Linked DNA regions of Arabidopsis thaliana. The protein of the gene in region 2 interacts with the protein of the main gene of each other region in a biochemical or structural test. Each region holds a gene or a part of one and is shown on either strand. Other genes may lie near its edges. The genes, in order: PBP1 and PID.

What was found.
Region 1: the proteins of PID (region 2) and PBP1 form a complex in vitro, tested with the Arabidopsis thaliana proteins (one study listed by BioGRID).

The regions. Positions count from the first base shown.
Region 1 is NC_003076.8:22,119,155-22,122,705, reverse strand, and holds PBP1 (pinoid-binding protein 1), read right to left. Parts: upstream 1,605-3,551; 5' UTR 1,249-1,604; coding exon 865-1,248; 3' UTR 584-864; downstream 1-583. Other genes in the region: AT5G54480 (hypothetical protein (DUF630 and DUF632)), read right to left, coding at 2,540-3,551. UniProt on the Arabidopsis thaliana protein: Potential calcium sensor that binds calcium in vitro.
Region 2 is NC_003071.7:14,589,062-14,593,805, forward strand, and holds PID (Protein kinase superfamily protein), read right to left. Parts: upstream 3,080-4,744; 5' UTR 2,497-3,079; coding exon 1,949-2,496; intron 1,642-1,948; coding exon 873-1,641; 3' UTR 675-872; downstream 1-674. UniProt on the Arabidopsis thaliana protein: Serine/threonine-protein kinase involved in the regulation of auxin signaling. Acts as a positive regulator of cellular auxin efflux and regulates organ development by enhancing polar auxin transport.

The DNA.
Region 1 (3,551 bases), on a different chromosome or scaffold from region 2:
AATCACTCGCAATGTGCAACCATATTTGCTTTATAAAGAAATTAACTAATGAAAAGTAGAAATATGATCAGGTGGTTGAAAGATGACACTACACTCAAGAGTTCTAATAATTAAATGTGGACTTTGATGAATGATATGTTAAGACGTTTGTTATAAAGATTTTGTAGCTTACCATCCAGTAAATAAAATAAATCTCTTCTTTTTTTTTGCTTTTCCTTTATTAATGCTATTTCTATCCAATAACAAAAAAAAACACAACTCCAAGTCCATGGTCAGCCTAAATCTTATTTATGATGTATATTAGACTTGGAGTTGGGTTTTTTTGTTTGCCAGCAACTCATAGCTTTCTAAAATGCTAATCAAACAGGTCGTAAGATTTAACTGAGCAGCCAATTTAGGTTTAGTTTGGTTCAATATTTAGGTTAAAGTTTTGGTAATGGTATAAAAACATCTTGGTTCTTAAGTTTAGTTTGGTTTAATGTTTTAGTGGGGTTTTTTTTTTTTCAAAACAAAAATCGCCAAAATGTTTTTGACACTTATATTCTTTTTCACTCTGAAGATTTATATTTATTTTTAATAATTTTTTGGTTAATGATTCTTATCTATCGATCCTTACATGACGAAGCCTAAACTAAAAAGTTTGAATAAAAGAAGAATAGAATCAGTTAAGATTTTCCTTCGCTACTCTCGACAAATTTTGCATATCAGTAATTCAGTATTAATCCAACAATCCTATGGACCACCTCAACAATAATGGGAAATCAAAGAGAGAATAAAAATAACATTAATAAATTATTAAATTATATTTTGGTTTTTGTGTAAACAATTCAGTCAAAGTCTCTAACGCATAAGAAGGTTTCTCTATCAATGCCGGTAAAACTCTTCCTCGATCACCTCCGTCACAACACACCGTGACGCTTCCATCAATTCAGGACTAAGTCTAAACATGAGCACACAAAACTCCATCTGATTCAACGCACCGTCTCGATCAAAATCTCCTTCGTTGATCATATATCGAACATCGTCGTCCGTTAGATCTCCGAGTCCAAGAACCGTCGATGCGTTTCTTCGTAAGCTCTCGAATGTGATGACTCCTTTGTCTTTGTCCATAAGAAGCTCGAACCCTTTGCAAATCTCTTCGATCAGACCTTCTCCACCGAGTTTTCCTGCCATTGTTGGGAAGAAATCTTGGAACTGAGGTTCTTGGTTTTCTTGGTTTGGTCTTGTTGAGGATTTAGGAGATGCCATTACAAAAGAAGAAAAAGTAAAACAGTTTGAGAGAAATTGATTGTTTTGAGAGATGGGTTTTGTGTTGTGAGTAAGTTTTATATATAAAGGAAGAGAATTATGGATTTCCGAGAAGGAACATCCATAGAAACTTGAAGCCAACTAATCTACATGTAATGGGGAAAAATCTTAAAAATTGTTGGTTTCTTCTTGGAAGCTCACGTAAGGGTATAAATGTCTTTGTTCCCACGGGAGGTTCATAATGTGAAAAGCTGAGAAGAGGATAAAGTTACTTTGAATGTGAAGTTTCGGTGACTTTCTTAGGCAAGTGACTTTTTTAGATCCCATTGATTAAGGAATGTTCTTAAAAATCACCCTGAAAAAAACACAAAATTTAGTCGGTTTGGTTTTCATTGCGTGTATGTAAATTTCATGTGAGAAACATCGCCTTCCTTGTTTTAGTTTCTAGTTTTGTTAGAAATGAAACAACTCAATTGAGAAAATATTCATTACATTGTATGTTCGTCAATAACAACCAAAGCCATTAGAGCATAATGTTTACCAAGTACCAACTAACAAGGCGATCTCGATGTATTTAGGTGAGAAAAGTCTCCAAAATAACACGTGTACAAGTTCATAGTGACTTTGGGCGATATAATTAATTATTAATCAAGATTTTTGGTCGCTTATTGGAAGACATTAACCTCTGATATCTTTGATTGAAACTTCGTTGTGGTAGACAGAATATTCCACTTGGTCTGCCCCTTCTATTGCATGCCTTTATTTTTTATTATTACTCTCCAAAACAATCCAACCAAATCTCTTCCTCATTGGATAATTAATCACTATCATTATCCATAACGTATTCAATAATGGTTTATTTTAAATGAATGCATGATCCCAACCGCAAAATGAACAGAATTCGTCGAAAGAACATTGAATCTTGATTTATTGACATGGTCATTCATCGATTTTAATTAAGTATATCTCTACCTAGATCAAGATCTTTCGGGACCGATTGAACATATATTTAAAATTCAAAATGTTTCGAACACTTAATTTAGATAATTGTCATATACAAAAAAAAAACCCGGTTCATGATCAATAACCGGAAATTTTAAGCAGATGCAAGCAATGAAGCATAAACTGATCAAAGTAAAAGTCTTACAATCTGATAATCTCGCCAGAAAATGAAGAACTTTCGCAAACATTCAAAGCTAATATGTTGATATAATAATATACGAAATCTGATGAAATTCTTTATTTAATTTCCTATACATATTTATTTTTATGATTGACGCAATCATAGAGTTTATGTGGTAACGATTACAATGTTCTGATATGCTTTAAAATTAGCAAAACAAAAATCTCCCAAAGCCTCAAAGACAGGAACCATACACTCTTGCAAACTCATCGATACGGCGTCGTTTAACTCTCTTATCAATCTCTCATGTTTTTCTGTTTCTTGCGTCACACTCTCTCTCAAAAACAACAACTCCGGTTCAACCATATTCGACGTCGGACTAGAACCTCTCGTTCCCCGAATCTCCTCCAACTCCTTCGTCTTCTTCTCTAACTCCTTAGACAATCTCTCTGTTCTCATCCTCTGTTTCTCTTCCTCTACTTGCTTAAACCCTAACCCTTGAAATCTTAATCTCATTTCTTCAACAACACTCAACACTTTAATCGTATCCACATTCTCAATCTCTCTTAACCACTCGCTGCAAACCCTAAATATCTCAGGAGCTTCAGTCTCGGTTTCATCGTCCTCCATGATGATTCGGTTAAGCCATTCGTTTAAAAGCTTAACGAAACCTCTGTGTGCATCAATGTAACCTTTCAAAGATTCTCTGTATCTTCTAATCTGTTTTTCGACTTGCTGCGTGGCTTTCCTGGAGCTCGATCCGTTTTCAACAATGTGAACACAAGACTTGCTTCTCGCAATCACTCGAAACTGCTTATGGTGACATTTCGCCAAGAATCTCCACATTGTTTTGAATCCGTTAATGATCTCAATCACTTGAAACGAAAGCTCTTCGTCTCTTATCTTATGAATTCTCATCGAAATCGATTCAACCGCTCGAACCGAAACATTAACCTTAGATAAATGGAGTTTAACCAAAGTTTCCGCCTCGTAAAGCTCACTAGATTCTGCTCCGTTTTGATCAAGATTGTTCAGAATCTTGTACGCTTTTTCATAAGCAACCCTAAGCTTTTCTTCAGCTGTAACTTCTGCGTGAAGCTTCTTTTCCCACATATAAAGCTTCTCTAATGTCATAGAGAGTGAAACAGCGAGATCATCTAAGCGAAAACGGCGCTTTAAA
Region 2 (4,744 bases):
ATATTTGTTTAGTAGCCATATTTTATGTATAAGTTTTTCAAAGTAATTTTATAATCTGAAAATGACATTTAAAACCTATGATGTGTTCTTTTTTTTTTTTCGGGGGCCAAAATGTGGTCAAGTGAATGTATCTAATTAATGAAATCGATTTAACACATTAAAGAAAATGACACCACTTTATATAAAGCTTAAACGAATTCACTAGAGGAATGCGTTTGATACTCTATATCAAGAAAACAATTTCGTCTTGCCGTCTATAGTTTATTGTTCTCCTTAAGTTGAAATTGAAGAGAACGAATCGAAAGCAGAAGAGAGATCATGCAACTGGTCGGATCCAAAAAGGCAGATTCCTACCCTTATGGATAACGTTTTTTTCTCCCTTTTTTGACATTCTAAAGACTCGTAGAGATTTAACAAAGAGCAAATATGACTTCATGTGTTACAATTGTCAAAAGACGAATCTTCTTTTCTTTTTCTATACCCGTCGAACTACAAAGTCTAGGCGTGACGAGTTTTATTATAAAGTAATTCGTTTTCTTTTCCATTGCGGTGAAAAGTAGTTCATTCAAACCGGTAAGAAATGTTTGACCAAATTTGGTCAACTATATAATGCCTTAACATTAACTATCGTTAGACTGGTAAATAGATGTTCCCAAGTTCCGAAGAGTTGATAATGATAATTATAAAATAGATTAGTTTTAGATTAATCCGTTTGTTGTACAAATTGTATGAAAAGTCACCTAAATTTTTAATTTATAAGTCAGATTAACGAAATTTTAAAAATTAAAGAACGAAAAAAAGGACAGCTTCGAGGGAATATGTACAGCTAAAACAGACTAACACGTGGCCCTAATCTCGACCGTAGAAAACGTTCAAAAGTAATCGAACGCCGCTGGTTTGTTACTACTTCTACCACTAAACGTCGCCGATTTCATCGGCTTCTTGACGACGGAAGAAGGAATCTCCGGCGGAGTAAGCGTACGAATGAGCGCAAAGTTTAGACCTTTGAAAAAAGGATGCACTTTAACCTCCGCCGCACCTCGCCGTGACCCAAGTCTTTTAGTCGGATCTTTGTTAAGCAACCCGGAAATCAAATTCCGCGCATGAAGCTCAAACATAGTCGCCGGCGAATCAGTCGGGAAACTCAACTGTCTTTTCACAATGTTACGGAGAATGACGTCATTAGTCGGCGCAACGAACGGAGTCTTGCCATATATCATCTCGTAGAGAAACACTCCAAAGGCCCACCAGTCAACGGCATTACCATGTGATCCACCTGAAGCAACTTCTGGTGCCACGTATTCATGCGTACCAACGAACGAACCGGACCGGGCAGTAACCGGTTCAGCAACAAAGAGACGGGTTGGTTCTAAAGTCTGAACCTTTTTAGACCGCAAGACTCGTTGGAAAAGTCTAGCGAGACGAGTGAATCGTCGCGGTGAACGGAGTTGTTGATTCTCCGGCGAAGACGAGGAAGATTCAACGGCTGCGATTGAGTCGGAGCATAGAGAGAGGTCAAAGTCAGAGAGCATAATGTGACCGTCGGATCTAACTAAGATATTTTCAGGCTTCAGATCTCTGTAGATGATACCCAACATGTGTAGATATTCTAACGCCACTAGAACTTCGGCGGCATAAAATCTGTAACCAAAAACAAAATAAATACTCATTAGCTAATAAAATCATAATTATTGACGTTTATAAATTGTGATGGGCTGAAAAAGACTCTTTGATAACAATTCAAAGAACTGGAAAAGACCGACATGATAAGAACAGGTCTGTTCTTGCAGAACAAGATAACAAATGTGAACAGAGTCAATGCATGTAACTATAAAATATATATATACATTGATGATGATGAATCTTTTTTCACAATTTTTTTTTTTTGAAAAAAAATCTGACTTTGTCCATAATATTAAATTATTCAATAAAATTTGATATTTTTTACCTGGCGGAAGAGAGGGAGAATCGCCGGTGAGGTTGTCTATGACGGAGAGAGTGTAAATCACCACCGGAGCAATATTCCATAACGATGCAAGAGAAATGTGAGGCTTCAAACTCAGCGTAAAGAGTCGGCAAAAATGGATGGTCAAGCATTTTCAAAATCGTTTTCTCCATCTCTGCTCTATGCATCTTCTTCTTCAACGCAAGAGCTTCTTTATCCACAACTTTCATCGCAAAATACGAGCTCCGGCTCTCTTCTTCGTCTCCGGCTAGACGGCATAAGTAAACTGTTCCGATGTCGCCGGCGCCGATACGACGCATGAGGCGAAAATCTCGGAAGGTTAGGCCTTGTTTTTTTCGTCTTCGGATCTCTGCGTAAGCGAAATCTGAGGATCGGTGAGGTTTGAGAGAAAGGAAGCTTTCTTCTTCGGGGATAGTTGACGGCGGCGCGTCGAATGATAACCGGCTGAAACTGCTGCAACTCTCTGTTCCGCTGCTTATCGGTGAGTTTGTTGTTCCTAAACTCATCTCACCGTCTGATTCTCGTAACATCGCCGGGAAAATCGAAGTTAAATCAAGAAATGGCTAAGAGGATAATTCAAGAAAAAAAATTGGAATCTGAAAACAGAAGACTAATGACAGAGATGAAACAGGACAGGGTGTCTTTGAATGGACATTAGTTTCTGATCTGAAGAGATGAAGATTTAGGGTTTATGATTGAGAAGAAGAAGAAGATTTTCAGAAGTTTGAGAGAGATGGAAGAAGGAGAAGTGTTGGAGTTTTAGAGAGAGGCGAGACAGAGAGAGTTGGTGAGGGGTATTTATGCGTGTAAGGTTATAACAGTAAAAAGACGTTACAGAGACCATTTTTTTTTTTTCTTACTGTGGTTAATTATGTAAGATTGATTGCACTTTTCAACGCGTGAGAGAGGTAAACAGAAAAGTGAAAGAGAGAAAAAGAGGACTTGATGACGTAAGATATATGACACGTGTGAGACGTTGTCACGTGCCTGAAAGTGTAGCAGTAGCTTCTCTTTTTCCCCATTATTTTTTCTTCTTATTTCCTCTAGGCATATTATAGGGGTGCAAAATTACAGATATGGATTACAATTTCGAGACTCTTGTGTCTTTTTTTGGAGAAATATTGGACTAGTGATTCATCTGTGTTAAAAAAGTGATGACTAAATACAGATTTCATGAGGAAAATTTTGAAGATTAATACTCCATAGGTTATGAATACTAACTAATCTCAACATTATATATGGATTAGTTTCTGAAACTTAAACAGTTTTAGTTTGTTGTTTCTGGCTAATTCAAGATGATTGGTAATGTTATATCGTCTTGGTACAAAATGTACTAAAAGATATGTAATTATTCAATGAGCCCGTAAAAAAGGTTATAGGAAGAGATAGTGAAACTATTTTTTTTGTTTAATGATAACATCAATTTTCTAAAGGTTAATCAAAGAGTACTTTTAGACAAAAACTAGTACAGTATGTTCTTTCATTTGTCTTTCTCGTGAGTGAGAGTTGAACTAGAGAACTCATGGTCACGGATATATAATCTTTGAAAACCCCAAAAAAACTAGCTATTGACCAAAACACACTTAATTACTATCAATTCGTACCACTATGTTTGCCATTAAAAAAGTGTACCAGTTTGTGCGGACCCTATATATTTATACCGACTATGAACATACCTAATGATCATTAATAAAGATGATACAAATGCTGGAAGGGACCCAACCTATATACTAGGATGTTGTTGGCTTTCTGTGGCTTCATGTTACGTTACGTTCCAAGCTTTGGATTTGAATCCAAGATATTGTTTTTATGTTAGGTTAGGTTTTGGTTGATTCAATTATTGTCAATTGGAGATCTCCTCTCGCTAATTTTTGTTTTGTTTTAGCTCCACCTCCTATAATGTTTGGGCTACTATAACATATTGTATTATATAATTATACGGGAATGAACCTACTTGTCCTACTCTCATATCATTGTGGATTGACCACTGTGACAACTTTTTTCATCTCCGATTTATCTTTTCCATGAGTTGCTCTAATCCAACCTCTGTTCGCGGTTGGAAAACTGTTTTGTTTATACAGTAAAAGTTTGAGACGTATTCATATAATGTACTCTAGAATACTTATACTAGCCTCAATCTGTGAAATGGCTAGAATAAACGAATCACAACAGTTAGAAGAAGTGTGGTTAACACTTGCAAATGTTGAGTTCAAAATGAATGGAAAATAGAGGGGAAACGTAGCCTAAGTTTCATGCACAATATATAGCTTTAACTTTGTTTCATAAGCCATAAAAAGGACAGACATAAATATGCCCACCGCTTATGATTCATTTGGCGCATATATATCTGCATGGCCCTCTCCTTAGCTAACCTTAGAACACGTTTTTCAAAATTAATGTGTCCCTAGGTTAAGATAAGTGTCCCTAGGTTTAGTTTTAAATTAAAGAATCTGAATCAAACATTAACATATTTGACTGTGACTATATTCAGTTATTCTCTTAAGTATTTTGGAAACTTAAGAGAAAGAAGTTTGGAGAAAAAAGAAGGAAATAAGGAGAAAAATGCATGAGATGTTTGGTGGAAGAGGGACAAAGTCGTAATTGTGCCAGCTAAATTGGCAAAGAGACAAAACAGAACTGACCTCTGGACTTATGGTTAAATAAACCCAGAGAGATATTCCCTTCCTCGTTGGTTCCTAAAGACAATAACTGTTCCCGTTACTTCTGTATCTTCTCAAACTCTCTCTTAGCCAAGTGTTTGGTAACTAGTTTAACTAT